Linked DNA regions of Nothobranchius furzeri. The protein of the gene in region 1 purifies or fractionates together with the protein of each later gene. This does not show direct contact. Links are inferred from orthologs where the notes say so. Each region holds a gene or a part of one and is shown on either strand. Other genes may lie near its edges.

Region 1 (8,482 bases):
AAAAAGGAAGAGAGGTGGAGCTGAGGGTGGGGCTGTAAGGCTGGGATCAACTGACGACACCCGGTCGAACTAGCTACAAGCTAACCTAAAGCTAACCCAAAGCTAATGCGGAGAAGGGAGCTAAGCTAATGGAGGTAGCAACCTAGCTACAACCGGAGTTAATTGTGCACAACACCAGAGCTTCTGAGTCAGAGATACGCCAGGCTGACGGCTGGGTAAAACCAGGTGGAACACAGAGGTCTCCGAGACCTCCACAAGCCGGCAGCCGCACAGCAGACAAGCGCCGCTGCGATCTGAGATGCGCAGAGATGCCGCTGGGGAGAACCGGGTGGAAAGGTTTCCATCCCAGAGCTCCACAAGCCGACAGCCCGCACATCAAACAGAAGCCACGATCAGACAGAGTTGCGCCGAGCTGCGGGGAGAAACATGTGGAAAACAGAGGTCTCCAGAGAGCTCCACAAGCCGATAGTCGGAACCCAGCTCCACCAACATGTAATATTTTAGCCCATTTTCTAAAGTGCAGCATTATGTTAAATGCACTGGGATTTACCCTATTACATTTAAATTTCATGGTTAAACAGTACATGTTAAAATCTAAGCTCAGCTCGGCAGTGACCTAAAATACATAAATATAATTTTACTTACCGAAAATAATGAAGTGGAGACTCGTTGGACGCTCTATTAGTGCAATTAATGCCACAGCAAGTCATTTTGTCCAACAGTTGCACAAATAATATCCAAAAAAAGAATACACAAACCCAAAGCTAATGCGGAGAAGGGAGCTAAGCTAATGGAGGTAGCAACCTAGCTACAACCGGAGTTAACTGTGCACAACACCAGAGCTTCAAAATCCCTGAGCAGTTTCCAAGCCAGGCCGAGGCTCGACTGAGGCCTTTCCACGGAGCTAGCTCTGTGGTCACGTGGGTCTGATGCTCATTAATTATACAGAAATTTAGGCTTTTAATATACTTAAACAGAAGAGTGAGAAAAAATTCATTTTTCCTTCTTCTTGCCTTTCATGGCCTTTGTTTTAGGCTTTTGTTGTTTATTTTTTCTGCAGTGCCTTCAGTAAAATGTTTACTGTATTACTGCACAGAAAAGTGACATTTAATTAAATAAAAATGGATTTAACTAACTAACTAACGCTGCCATCATTCATTCATGCTGCAGCACACGGCCCCCGAGGGAATACAAACATTGACAGCGACTGTCATTTGGTCCATGCTTGAACAGTCTGAGAAGAATGAAAAAAACAGTAAAGTAAATGACAGCAACAGTAAATAATTAGCTGAGCAAATGGAAACTTCAGTAATGCTTGCATTTATGAATAATAAATCAGAGCCATCTTTTGATTCATTAAATGTTTATACTTATCAATATCCTCTGGTGGTGGTGTAATTGGACAGTGAGATAAAGACTGAATGTTCACAAGCCCGTTTCGGATCATTTTTATAAGAAAACTGGTGATTTTATTCATTCATATCCCTAATTTGTTGACATTAATTTTGTCTAAAGAACACTCTTATTGATTAATATTAAGATCAAGTTTTTAATGAAAGTGTATTTCTTTCCTTTATGCAAAAATGAATGTGGTAAATGGATGATTAAAAACTGCTTTCTTTTGGATGTTTGTGCCACAGGGAAGCGAGTTCACTGTGTTTTCTAAGCACTCTGATAAGGATTAAGGATAAAGGGTTGAATATGTTTCCTGTTACTGATATCCTTCAAAGAAACTTTATTTTTTCTGGTTAGTGTGACTGTGGAAAGGTGACAGCATTCTATGTCTCTGCATCTGATAAGAAGTAACTTTTTGTCACTTCTCTCTGCTGACCAGCACCGCTGCGGAGTTTTTAACTCACAAACACCTGCTCATCTCAACAAAGATGTATTTGTCAGATGAGGAGATCCATGATATGTAAAGAAGGAGCCTTTGCCCTCCACGATGACTCAGGCACAACACTGTGTTCAAATTATTGTTTGAAGATAAGAAGGAAAAAAAATGTGATAAGAGGAAAACAGAGAAGGTAACTTTTTTTAATAAAAAAACATATTTCAGTGACAAGAACTTGTAAATGAATTAGAAAATCTTTATATGATTTTAAATAAAAATGTATTTAACATAAACTTTAAAATACAATAGAAAATAACAGAAATAATCATAGGAATATAATGACAACTCAGTGCAAGAAAACAATGCAAAAGCAATAAAACGTGTTTTTTTATTTTTTTTTACTTACTGACAAGACAATAGTTCCAATAAATAGTTGAAAAGAAACATTTTAAAGGTTTGTACCCAGCTGTAATTAAAAATATAGGATCTGTTTCTTCCAGGTGGATCATCTGAACCATTGGTCCGCATAACTGTCAAACATTCTGGTGAGCCAGTCACATCAAGGCCGTCGTTGCACATGCTTGTTGCTGGGCAGTTTTCACTTCCTGCGCATCCGCAAAGCGAAGGTTGGGCTCCCCACAGACGCCTCGCTCACCTGCTCGACAGGTAAGCTAAAGTTCGGCATGCTATTTGGAGAAATTCATTTCATATAACTGCTAAAAGAAGTTAGCTGCAAGTCCAGCAGCTACTCGTGAACAAAGCGTGCACTGGGATAACTGGGCGTTCTCTCTCATGCGCATTTTTTCAAATTATGGAGAGGGCGGTTCTTTCCTGACATTCAGAAACATCCTCCACCATACATTTAAGATTATCATTTGCAGCAAACTCATACAGTGAGAGTTGTTTATCTGCAGAATATTTCTTCCTAACGGTATACTAAGCAATTTTACTTGCTTTCACCACCCCCTAGTGTCCGTTATTAACTATTAGTGGTCAAAGCAAAAGAGAGACTTATCTCCTTGCTGTGCATTTGTCCTAACGCACAACGTTAACCTACAGCTGCAATGTCTCCCCAGCCTGAACCTTTAAGGACCTGTGTATAAACTTTAAAATACAATATAAAATAACACACACACACACACACACACACACACATATATATATATATCACAACCGATTTTAACCGGTGGTGACACTGGTGTCACCACCGGTTTTAAACATCTGCAAAATTTCTTCTTGGGTCAAATATTCAAGTTTGAAAACCCAGAGTGAAAATCTATCCATACATATATTGGAAATTATTCAACTTCTTTATTTTATAACATTTTTTTCCTACATCTTGATGTATTTGTCCAATCTGTTTTGTAATTCAAAACGGTTTGGGTTAATTGGTTTCTAAAGGAGCGATTCATTACTAAATCTAACAAATTAGCTGTGTTCATTTTCTAAATGCAGGAAATGTGCTGGAAACAGAATGCAGTGCTAGGTATGTCAAATGCATTTTTTCTAAGTCTAACTGATGGTGGCCTGGCACTTTGAAGTTGCAAATTCTTGCCGCAGAGGGTGGTGGGGTCTGAGAGGCATTTCATTAAGCCTGTGAAAGGTCAGTTAGCACAAACTCAAGAATGTGATTTAAATACATGAAAGATTGTGCAGTATCTCTTTAACAGGTATGGGACGTTTGTCCTTCCGTACTTTTGGCCTTCCAACTTAAAGGATATATTGGCTTACCATAAATTCTGGCATGCTGTCTGCTCAGGAGTCACGTGACACATGTGTCTGGGAACAGTATGGCGGACATGCATGTGGAGCCTCCAAACAAGTTACACCGATTATCCAGCTAACCCCGTCGCTAGAACCATCTTTGCCGCGCGTGAAACCGGGCCAGCAGAGCCCGAACTCACAGCAGAATGGACGAGGAAATCAAACTCCAGTTCCCGGATCTTCCTTCCTCCAAGGAGGAGCTGCTGGTGAGGAGAAAACATGAAACTGGAGCCGACACGCTAATTTTAGCTAACATACTCTCCGGCATTATTGTGAAACGTTTAGATTACAAGGCATTCAGTGTGAGGATATATGAACTTAACACAAACTAGTCATGTGTAAAACTCATCTTCTCTTTATTTAATAAATATTAAAATATTTAATCATGTAGCTAAAACCAAGAAGATGCCTAGCGTTAGCCACGTATGTACACAAGTAAACTTACCTTAACATTTCCTTAAACTTTTGATTTGGTTTTTTGTTTTGTTTTGTTTTTTTTTTGTTTTTTCACAGGACTGGGCTTATCCAATGAGGCGAGAAATGCAGGTATGTTATTGTTGTCTAGTAGCATCCATTCCTCCTGTTGTTGTTGATGTTGTGCTATTTGTTTTTTTTTTAATCCATTTAGGAGATTTTACCAGGATTGTACTTAGGCCCCTATTCTGCTGCAATGAAAAGCAAGGTAACAACTAAAAATCGAATGTTTGCTTGAGCTGTGTTGAATATGAAACGGTCACAATTTACATGAATTAATTACTTTAAAATTCATCTGTTTCCAGCTGCCAATTCTTGAAAGACACGGCATAACACATGTTGTGTGTATCCGCCAAGACATTGAAGCCAATTTTATCAAACCTAATTTTCCTCATAGATTTAGGTAAGGTGTTATTTTTGTCCCTTGAACATTTACGTACTCAGAACGCTTATACTAAATGTGAAGTCTTGAGTTATGAAGCTTTTTCTTGCAGATACCTTGTTTTAGATATTGCAGACAATCCAGTGGAGAATATAATTCGGTTTTTTCCTACGGTGAGTTAAAGTTTTAGCTTTTAATTCTCCGTTCTAGTATGTTTTTTCTTACATTTCCTTCTTGCAGACTAAAGAATTTATTGGTAGCTGTTTAGCCACAGAGGGTAAGGACACATACAGTTCCTATTTGTCATCATTTCAATGTGAAATATTTGATCAGCAGTCTTGTTTTGCTCCTCCAGGAAAGGTATTGGTTCACGGTAATGCAGGGATATCGAGAAGGTGAGGAGTTTTCTGTTTTTGACATGTTTCCTTATATAAATTTCAGGAGACAAAAATCTCTAATATAGACTCCTATAGCAGTTGCGCCACAAGTTCACCATCGGAGCGGGTTTTCAGCCCTGCAGGGAAAGTTGTCAGTCCATAGCATGCAATGTTGAAGCTGGAAAAGTAAAAATTTAATTTTTTTCTGGTGGAAACCCTTTTTAATAAGCTGCGTTTTTTTTTAAATAAAAGGTGTTAATATTATGCACATTGTTTTTTTTTTTTGTTGTTGTTTTTTTTCTGTAATAGTGTTTCAGTTTCTGAACAGTGGAAGTAATGTCACTTGAGGCTTACGTCATATTTTTTTATTTGTAATCGTAATATCAATCAGTCAATCACTTCATTAAAGACACAAGAAGGTCCATAACAGATCGTAATACCGTAGGCCAGGGCTTTTCAAGTTAGGGCCTCGAGGGTCGGTATCCAGCACTTTTTAAGAATAAGAATACCTTTTTTTTTAGTCCCTCAGGGGGAATTGCAGTATTGCAACAGCACAAGTACAGTAAAGTTAAAATAGTAGTACAGAAAAGCTATCACACAAAAGGAATTCAGTAAGTAACGTGGAATAGAAAAAGTGTTGAATTGAGAGTTTGATAGTTGTTGAACATAATGATTGTTGCTGTAAACATTGCACATGTATTGAATGGTGATGACAGTTGTGGCATTGCTACAGATACATAAGTTGTCACAGATTTATGAGTTACATATTAGGAGTGTTCCTTATAGAGTCTAATCGCAGCAGGAATGAAAGACATGTGGTATCTCTCCTTCACACTCCTTTGTCATGAAGTGACGGTGGCACAGGAAGTGCTCGCCCCGTAATCGGAAGGTTGCAGGTTCGAGCCCCACTCAGTCTGTCGCTGTCGTTGTGTCCTTGGGCAACACACTTAACCCACATTGCCTGCTGGTGGTGGTTGGAGGAACTGGTGGCGCCGGTGCTCAGCAGCCTCGCCTCTGTCAGTGCGCCCCAGGCCAGCTGTGGCTACATCGTAGCTCATCCCCACCAGTGTGTGAATGTGTGTGTGAATGATTGTGTTGTAAAGTGCCTTGAGGGGTTCCATGACTCTAGAAGGCGCTATATCAAATACAGGCCATTTACCATTCACACAACGAAGGTGGATCTGTCCGTCACTGAAGCGGCTCTCCAGAGCAGAGTTCTGCAGGGGGTGAGACTCATGGCCCAGCATGGATCTCAGTTTTGCCAGGATCCTCCTGCACTGAGTCCAGATGACAGCCCAGGACAAAGCTGGACTTCCTGATCACCCTGTCCAGCTTCTTCCTCTCTCTCTCTCTGTGATGCTGCTACTCCCAACAGATCACACCATACAGGAAAGCTGGTGCCACCACAGAGTCATAAAAGGTCTTCACGAGTGTCCACTCCAAAAGACTGCAGCCTCCTCAGGAGGTCGAGCCTGCTCTGACCCTTCCTGAACAGTGCATCTGTGTTGTGAGACCAGTCCAGTTTATTGTTCAGGTGAACACCCAGGTATTCATAAGAGCCAATTCTCTCAATGTCCATTCCCTGGATGTTCACCTGTGAAGGAGTGGCAGGCTGGCGTCTTTGAAAATCCCCCACCATCTCCTTTGTTTTCCCCGCGTTGATCAGGAGGTGGTTTTGCTGACAACAGTTTTGTGTCAGTCCTCTGTACTCCACATCACCGTCCTCGGTGATCTGGCAGACAATCACAGGGTCATCGGAGAACTTCTGCAGAACACATCTGTCTGTGTTGTGTCTGAAGTCAGCAGTGTACAGGGTGAAAAGAAAGGGTGCCAAAACAGTCCCCTTAGTGGCGCCCACACTGTAGGTCACACACACAGTCCCATGGTTTTAGTGGTTTCTCTGGTCCAACTCACTAGATTCAGTGGTTGAGTCACCTGTGCAGCAGCTCATCGGGTTCTGCAGAAGCCTGTTAATCACCTGCTGATTAAAATCAGGTGTGTTGAAGCACAGTTAAAACTAAAACATGCTGGATACCGGCCCTCAAGGCCCAGAATTGAATAGCCCTGCTGTAGGCCGTGGTAAAATGTGTAGAAAGTTAAACAATATCAAAATTTGGATACAAACCTAATAAGGTGCCTAAGTCACGTCCATCTACTTCCAAACCATGGGTCCCCTGAAGAACGAAAAATCGAATGCATGTCAATGGGGCTTTAAACTGCTATTTTCTAATTCCGTTATGAGCCATGGATTTCATATATGATGTCCGTGAATGTCAAAGACACATTCTGATGCATAGAAAGTGTTTATTTAAATCGGGCAAAAGTTATTTTAGGTTTTGTGTGAAAATACAACCAGGACTACAAATGTGCATCACCAAAGTGATGTCACCGAACCAGACATGGAGAAAAGCAGAAGAAAAATGGCTGTAAGTTTTGCGAACTTCAAACCACCATAAATCTGGCCATGTGGTAAGTAGCAGCTATGCTAGGGGAGAGGAGATTCTGTTGTGACGTCATATATGCGACGTGCCGACATCTGATTTGTAGTCATGCTAATTACGAACTTTTACAAGCTGATAATCTCAAAGTATGTGACAGGCGTGGTCGAAACACATCATTACTTTTCGTTTAAATTGAAGTACAGCACGAGTGTGAATCAGGACGTAAGGCAAAGCGGATTCGAAAATAGCTCCATTGACTTGCATTCATTTATTTGTTCCTGCGGGGACCCATGAGCCGACCGGAAAGGAAGGAGACTTGGGCTCCCTTTTTACACGTCTGATAAAAAATAAACGAGGGTTGTTTTCTCAATAAATACCTATGGTAGCTGGTTTTATCATAAAGTGATGCCATAAAAATGCCAGGGCTGCACTTAATATATTTTCTACTTTTTTTGTAGTTATCTATTATAGATTTAGGTCAATAAGAGCATTTTTTCTTGATATGCTTTTTTATATATCGTCCAGCCATACTCAGATGTATAATATCAGTAGTTTTTGTTTTGATGCTAATACAAGACCAAATCCATCTAAATGTCATCGTAACCACCGGGGTATATCTGTACTTTCAGTGCTGCTTTGGTGATCGCCTACCTGATGGAAACATTTGGGATGAAATACAGGTGACTTTTTTTTTTTTTTTTTTTTTTGCTGTAGACAAAGATTAATTGGAGAAGTGTGTTCTGCTTCAGTTTCTCCCCACTTTAAACTCTGCAGGGATGCATTCAGTTATGTCCAGGAGAGGAGATTTTGCATCAACCCCAATGTGGGCTTTGTGCATCAACTACAGGTAAGACTGGGGCTGAGTCCCAATTCTGCTTGGATTTTAATCATTTGGTCCTTATTTCAAATTAACAAGGGGGAGTGGCTCAAGGGTATTAGTTTTTTTTTTTAACTTTTGCTGTTGTCATTAGTTACACATCCCAGAATTGTTGAGGGCAAATGGGATGAAGGTAAGATGCAAGCAGGTGGTGACATGAGGCTCGACAGCTACTTTATATGGAGTTAGAAACCAACATACAGGCCAGCAGGAAATCCAGTATGAACACCTGATCTAATATGTTTAGGTATACAAGTGCCTCTTGTTGGTCAATATTAGTGAACTGGCTGGTAAAACGGAGAAATACTTGGGGTAATCTTGCAGACATTAATATTT
Region 2 (7,834 bases), on another chromosome or scaffold:
TGCCCATACACAGTGTGTTTGCACAGCTTGCTGTTGTCTAAGTAGCAACAAGCAGCACTTTTCAAGCTGTGTTAAGGACACCGATTACAGAATCCTGGTAGTTCCAGTAAAGTCAGAGAAATTTCAGCTATTCATAACCTTCCTTTTCTTGGCTCACAGCTATGGACTGGCAGTCTCTAGAGAAGGGGCCGTGCAATTTGAGATGGGTCTAATGCTTCCCACCACAGCAGCTCTGGGACTTTACCCCCAAAGAGGAAAAGAAGCTTTACAAAGGGACCAGTGACTTTGTGCCCAAGGTCAAGCAACTTGGTGCGAAGTGAAACAGATGAAGAATGTGAGCTCTGAGCATCCTCCAAAAATGTGTTTTCCTGTGTGGTAGGTTGTAGATATTGGGACCTGCAGTGGGCATAGCTGATTCTTTATTAGTCACAGTTTACTTAGACATCTTTTGGAACCCAACATTTGCTGTAAAAATATTGTTTGCTATCAAAAAGAGGTCATTTTTCAGCCAGTTTGAAAGATTTGCCCCAGTTTCTCTAACACTAAGAAAGTTTACATACACGATTGTTAAAGATACAGCAAAATAGGAAGGTGCTTTTTGTTTTAAGGGTACTGATGAAATATATTTATCATAACACCATTTTAATTGACCTAAATCATTGTACATTACAGGTGTTGCAAACACCTTTTAAAAGTTTAAATTTCTTGTGTTCAAAGAGCCAGTTTTTATTTCTTGTTGATCTTGGCTTTCAAACCCTCGGAAAAGCCTAGTTTATGCTTCTGCGTCAGCTCCACAAGGGAGAGACACATCCACGGAGACGTTTTGGTCTTCTCTGTCTCCTGAGAAGTGTTTCAAAGCAATTCCCTGCCAGGACAACAGAGGGCGTAGCATTGTTCTGTGGTATCCTGTCACGTATCCGGTTCGAGATGATGCATTAAATATAGTGTTTATATTGTGTTTTTTGTATTTTAAACACCTTTTAACACAAATACATTTGTTCCTCATTCTCCTCCACCTCTTCATGTGCTCGCCACCCACGTTTCCCGTCATTTTTATCCACGAATAAAATGCTTGCTGCATATCTTTTCACTCCTCCAGTCACAGGTGAACAAACATTCATATTTTTAGAGGTTTTCCATGAGGTATTTTTCAAGCTGCTCTGTGTCTGCCGCTAGATATCTTTGGCTCTCTTTATTTTTTTGAGGGGGGCAATGGCGGTGCTGTTGACAAAATCAGCGTCCTGACCAATCACAGGCTTGCGGTCTCCGTCTTATTCAACGGATGTTTAGAAAAGTGGACTCGACTCCGTTCATCCTTGCAAACCTGCTGGAGAGCCCTCACAAGGACGGATAATGGCGTTGCGCGTCTCCGCACTGACGCAGACGCCTTTAGCCTCAGAAGTCATTTTGAACTCTGTGAATAAAAAGCTCCTATCTTCCTCACATACGTCTCGTATGAATGGACATCTCTTGAAGTGTTAATATTTTTAGTTAAATGTCCTGTATTATATTTAGCACTTTCTAGGGTTCTAAAACCCCCCAAGGTGCTTTACAACACATTTGGTCATTCACCCAGGCTCACACACTCACACACTTGTAGTGATGAGCCACAGCTGTCCTTGGGCACACAGACCGGTGAGGCGGCTGTACATAGGCACCACTAGTCCCTCTGACCACCCCCAACAGGCAAGGAGGGTTAAGTATCTTGCCCAAGGACACAATGACTGCAATAGACAGGGCTCAAACCTGCAACCGTCCGGTTACAGGACAACTAGGACCCTGCTGAACTAAGAAGACAAGAGCGATCCTAATTCTGCTCTGTGCCCTAAATAATTATTGACTCACTATTGAGTAATTTTAATGACATTTTCACACACTGAAGTTGTTACCATTCTCTTACATTGTTTCATGCTAAGCTAAAGCTAAAGCAGTACAGATTAATCATGAGAATGACTGGGCTGGTTACAAATAGTGTTTTTTCTACTTATCTAACTATGGAAATATAGCAGCAGACACTATTTACTTTGGGGTGGAATATCCCTTTAACGAGTATAAGGAATATGACAAAGTTAATAGTTAAAACCCTGACTTTTGGTAATTTACAGAATCTGATTTGATCTGTCAACTTTCAGGGTTTAGTATGTTGCCTGATGTAAATTACAATTTCTAACTAGAAAATTCCTGAAGAATTTTTAAAAAGGGACCTGCCAGCTGGCACAAGATAACATTCATACACATGTAAAAAAAATGCCTCTTTAGAAGGCCTGCCATCAAATTCATCCATTATTGTGCACATAATTAAATCATAATCATGCAAAGTTAATGCAAATTTAGACACACTCAAAATGAATAAAAGAATATGTTTTTTGCTAATAATTTCACCATCATAAATCAAAATGCTTAGAAAAGTAAAAGCACACCTCCCACTGCTGAGCCGTTTATTTTGATGTATAATTTGTGGGGGTGCACGCTGCCGCTCGAGCCGCGTTAACGTCCGCGGAAGAATAATAACGGATATTAATATCTAAAACTCCCCAGGTGCATAACAATAAGGTCCCTGCTTGCTGCAGCAGCAGGTCCCTTAATTATTAAGAACGTACTTAAATGAGTAAACTTTAAATTTTATTTGATTAAAGATGAAACAGCAGCTTTCTTTTGGATTTTAGATATTTTAGAACTGTGTGGAGCGACAAGTTTGGAGCTGCAGCTCTCATCTTCTTTTACAGTGAAACAATATTTAGCTTTTGTATTTGACGTATTGTTTTTTCTGTAATTTGACAAACTTACAAGAGAGTTGTTTACATTTATCTCTGACGTTGTGGCTCCTGTCCCAAAACACAATCACACCCATCACTGTTGCTTGTCTGCTGCTGAGCAGCACAATCGGTTTCCCACAAGCTAATTCTCCACATCAATAATATTTAATAACTTGGCTGATTTTATGGAAAGTACTCCAGACAGTTTAAGAGAAGATGAGGAATAACAACCAATGCATTAAGCATAGCTTAAGTGTTCTGTTTGTGTTTTGCAGAATGTCAAGACCATCCCCTCCTCAGACAGCCTAGCGAAGGTTCAGGAGGTAGCAAGCTGGCTTTTGGAAATGAACCAGGATCTGCTGTCGGGGGGCAGCAGCAGCAGGCGGAGCCGGGGCCCCGGGGGTCAGGCAGTACGAGGTAACGCCTCCTCTACGGCCCGGGCACCCCAGCAGGCAGCAGAGGAGGGTGAGGAAGATGATCACATCAACCGGGTGGTTGAGGAAAGCGAGCAGCCACAGCAGAGGGTGAGGTTTTTTTTATTTTGTGCATGTTGGAACATAAACTGGGTTTCCCTAAAAGGTCATTGTTATTCTTCTCTGTGGCGTTTTGCAGCCGGATGCGTCACAGGTTGATGATGAAAGGGAGCAGCCATGGGCACCCGCCGAGTCAGGAGCCAGCAACGGCCCTCAAGGAGAAGCAGACGAGGAGGAGAGAAGAGGAGGCCAGCTAAATGAAGTGACCGGGGATTATAAAGGAGTCCGATGGGTGTGGGGAGCAGAGCAGAGAGCGCTCCGAGGCCAGCCGCACCTCGAAGAGGAGGAAGAAGAGGAAGAAGAGGAGGAGAACAACAATAGCAGCAGCCACCAAGAGGAGGAGGAGACAGAGGAGAGGACAGAGGGAGGGGAGGAACAAGGAAGGGAAGAGGAGGAGAGGGATGAGGGTGAGGAGGAAGAGGAGGAGGAGGATGACGAAGAGATGGACCAAGACAGTGATGAGTTTGAGCAGGAGGAGGAGGAGGAGGAGGAGGTGGGAGATGGGCTCCGCTCCCCCACTCTCAGGAACAAAGTGTCTGCCCCCAGGAATAATCAGGACTCGCTCTTCACACACCAAAGTTCTTCCAACAAGAAGGTAAGCAGCTTAATGGATCCTGTTAGCCGTTCTGCACGTCTGTGAGTAGCTTTACAATCACATCTGGCCAGATGTTCCTGTAGTCTCACAAACTTCTGAAAATGTTCTGCACCAGCGCTGCATTGTTGTTTGAAACAACAGCGCCACCCAGTGGCCAGAATGCTCCAGCACTGTAAAACTCAACACTGTTAGTCAGAAACTTGTTTCATGTTTGATTGGGAAACATGATTTTATATCTGAAATCCAAAAATGCACATCCTGTTTAGCACTTGTAAAGAGTAAACTGTTCAAAGTTTCATGTGAAAGAGTGTTTAGAGTAACACACATTTGTGTTCAGCACCATTTCTTACATTTAGATCCGTATAGTTTTTATTCTTTAGTGGATCCTGTGATTCAGACGCTGTTCTCCATTACAATTCTGTTCAATTCAGTCAGGTTTAGTTCCCCTGGGCCTCTTGTGATCTGACACAGCTGACCGACCAGGTGTGTTTATCAGGGCCTTAGTCACTTGTGGGCCATTCCCATCTGTACCGGGTCGGCCCGGGCCGGGTAGCGTAGGTTGTTTACATATCTGGGTAGCCTGGTATTTTTCCGGGCCTACCAAGGCTCATTCTCAGCCCTCTTCTCGAGGGGGTCTGCTTCAGGCCGACCAGGGCCAACACACCCACTGCTGACAGCAAATTCACACCTTCCATTAGAGCAAGCCTCTGATTGGTGGGTAGAATCAGCCCACATGGGCTTAAGACAAGGATGTGTGGAATCAACCGGGCCAGGCTGGGGCCGACTGGGGCTACCCGGCCCGGGCCGACCCGGTACAGATGGGAATGGCCCATTGGAGGAGCCATCTGGCTTTGCACACATTCTGTTGAGCTGTGGTTAAATGTGCATGGTATTATAGAAGGATCTGTTATGAGTTTAAATTAAAAGTTTCATTAATAGTTTATTTATAACTTAGCAGTTTTCACAACAGAGACCTTTTGTGATTGAGCTGGTTGAGCTGTGTAAAAAGAAACTGACTAAGGCCTGATGTGCCACCAGATTAGGTGGCTTATGACTCATCACAGATGGGTTCTGTCATGGATTTGATCAGTAAGTTTATCAATAACCTATTTCCCTGTAGTCGGAGAGAAAAAGGAGACAATGAACAACAAGTCAAACAGTTATAACTGTGGCAAGATGCCCCAAACATCCGGTCTCATAGTTTATTTATATATATATATATATATATATATATATATATATATATATATATATATATAGAGAGAGAGAGAGAGAGAGAGGAGAGAGGAGAGAGAGAGAGAGAGAGAGAGAGAGAGAGAGAGAATGTGTGTGTGGGAAGTAGGGGTGGGCAATATAAACGAAATAAGGTAGAAACGATCTAAAATTGGGTAATGATAGTGTTTTTGGCTAAATTGCAATACCGCGATATCGCAAAAACACATGACGTCACTAAGATGTGCACCCTGCTGACATTGGGGCAACAGAATGGCAGTGACTACAAGCATGGATTGGGCGGAGGAGGTGGCCTATGTACAGTGGGGCAAAAAAGTATTTAGTCAGGCACCGTTGTGCAAGTTCTCCCGCTTAAAATGATGACAGAGGTCAGTAATTTTCATCATAGGTACACTTCAACTGTGAGAGACAGAATGTGAAAAAAAATCCATGAATTCACATGGCAGGATTTTTAAAGAATTTATTTGTAAATCAGGGTGGAAATTAAGTATTTGGCCAATAACAAAAATTCAACTCAATACTTTGTAACATAACTTTTGTTGGCAATAACAGAGGTAAAACGATTACTATAGGTCTTTACCAGGTTTGCACACACAGTAGCTGGTATTTTGGCCCATTCCTCCATGCAGATCTTCTCGAGAGCAGTGATGTTTTGGGGCTGTCGCCGAGCAACACGGACTTTCAACTCCCTCCACAGATTTTCTATGGGGTTGAGGTCTGGAGACTGGCTAGGCCACTCCAGGACTTTCAAATGCTTCTTATGGAGCCACTCCTTTGTTGCCCGGGCGCTGTGTTTGGGATCATTGTCGTGTTGGAAGACCCAGCCACGTTTCATCTTCAAAGCTCTCACTGATGGAAGGAGGTTTTGGCTCAGAATCTCACGATACATGGCCCCATTCATTCTGTCCTTAACACGGATCAGTCGTCCTGTCCCCTTAGCAGAAAAACAGCCCCAAAGCATGATGTTCCCACCCCCATGCTTCACAGTAGGTATGGCGTTCTTGGGATGCAACTCAGTATTCTTCTTCCTCCAAACACGACGAGTTGAGTTTATACCAAAAAGTTCTACTTTGGTTTCATCTGACCACATGACATTCTCCTAATCATCTGCTGCATCATCCATGTGCTCTCTGGCAAACTTCAGATGGGCCTGGACATGCACTGGCTTCAGCAGCGGAACACGTCTGGCACTGCAGGATTTGATTCCCTGCCGTTGTAGTGTGTTACTGATGGTGACCTTTGTTACTGTGGTCCCAGCTCTCTGCAGGTCATTCACCTGGTCCCTCCGTGTGGTTCTGGGATTCTTGCTCACCGTTCTCATGATCATTGTGACCCCACGGGATGAGATCTTGCGTGGAGCCCCAGATCAAGGGAGATTATCAATGGTCTTGTATGCCTTCCATTTTCTGATAATTGCTCCCATAGTTGATTTTTTCACACCAAGTTGCTTGCCTATTGTAGATTCACTCTTCCCAGTCTGGTGCAGGTCTACAATTCTTTTCCTGGTGTCCTTCGAAAGCTCTTTGGTCTTGGCCATAGTGGAGTTTGCAGTCTGACTGTTTGAGGCTGTGGACGGGTGTCTTTTATACAGATAATGAGTTCAAACAGGTGCCATTAATACAGGTAACGAGTGGAGGACAGAAAAGCTTCTTAAAGAAGACGTTACAGGTCTGTGAGAGCCAGAGATTTTCCTTGTTTGAAGTGACCTAATACTTATTTTCCACCCTGATTTACAAATAAATTCTTTAAAAATCCTGCCATGTGAATTCATGGATTTTTTTTCACATTCTGTCTCTCACAGTTGAAGTGTACCTATGATGTAAATTACTGACCTCTGTCATCATTTTCAGTGGGAGAACTTGCACAATCGGTGGCTGACTAAATACTTTTTTGCCCCACTGTATAAAAGAAAAACAACCCAGTAGCCTTTGTTCCGACAGAAACATTTAGCTTAAATAAAAACCACAACAGTGGGCACCAGAGGGAAAGGCGAGGCTTCTTTTGAACATTTTAACCGTGTTTATTACGGGCCGTTTATGCGTCACTCTACCAAACTACAAATACAAAATTAAACAAAAAGAAAAATCAATTTGTCTTCCAGCAAACATGTGTGCTGCGCTTGTATTAAAAAAATCTATCTTTTGAGCTTCTTCTGTGTTCGCAAATCAGTCCGTGCGTCATGACGTCACATGCACGAATAAATCGTCCATCGTCTTTTTTGGACTGACGATTGGTGGTGGGAAAAATTATACAAATCGCTCAACCCTATTCTAGACAATATTTAAAGTGCAGACTTTGCAATTGTGGAGATTAAACTTCCTGCTAGCTACACGGAGAGACTGGGCGTTACTGTTTACAGTCCTGGGGAGGTGGGATCCAGACTCGTGACTGCCAGGATGGTGAAGATCGGGGCATGATGATGCAGACATGCCTCGCTTCTTCCCATCCGGCCTTTTGCAATAGCCTAGCAGAGTTTAGCACAGCTAAAGGGAAGAAGCAACTGAGACATGAAAATGTAAAAGTGAACCCATAAACCTTGTTGGGGGTGTTTTTCATCAGGAAATAACAATGAAATTTAGTCCAATCCTGGTCCTGGAGGGCCGGTATCCTGCATGTTTTAGTTTGAACTCTGTTTCAACACACCTGATTTCAATCAGCAGCTAATTAACAGACTTCTGCAGAGCCTGATGAGCTGCTGCACAGGTGTTTCAACCACT

Evidence for each region.
Region 2: the proteins of styx (region 1) and fbxw7 purify together in Homo sapiens (affinity purification with western blotting; 4 studies listed by BioGRID and IntAct, with this or other methods). This does not show direct contact. The link is inferred for Nothobranchius furzeri from reciprocal best matches to the Homo sapiens genes STYX and FBXW7.

Annotation. Positions count from the first base shown.
Region 1 is NC_091749.1:54,435,681-54,444,162, reverse strand, and holds the start of styx (serine/threonine/tyrosine-interacting protein), read left to right. Parts: upstream 1-3,515; 5' UTR 3,516-3,741; coding exon 3,742-3,801; intron 3,802-4,108; coding exon 4,109-4,141; intron 4,142-4,223; coding exon 4,224-4,277; intron 4,278-4,374; coding exon 4,375-4,472; intron 4,473-4,563; coding exon 4,564-4,624; intron 4,625-4,691; coding exon 4,692-4,728; intron 4,729-4,806; coding exon 4,807-4,846; intron 4,847-7,898; coding exon 7,899-7,949; intron 7,950-8,043; coding exon 8,044-8,116; intron 8,117-8,482. UniProt on the Homo sapiens protein: Catalytically inactive phosphatase. Acts as a nuclear anchor for MAPK1/MAPK3 (ERK1/ERK2). Modulates cell-fate decisions and cell migration by spatiotemporal regulation of MAPK1/MAPK3 (ERK1/ERK2).
Region 2 is NC_091747.1:80,807,095-80,814,928, reverse strand, and holds part of fbxw7 (F-box/WD repeat-containing protein 7), read left to right. Parts: intron 1-3,031; coding exon 3,032-3,280; intron 3,281-3,368; coding exon 3,369-3,884; intron 3,885-7,834. UniProt on the Homo sapiens protein: Substrate recognition component of a SCF (SKP1-CUL1-F-box protein) E3 ubiquitin-protein ligase complex which mediates the ubiquitination and subsequent proteasomal degradation of target proteins.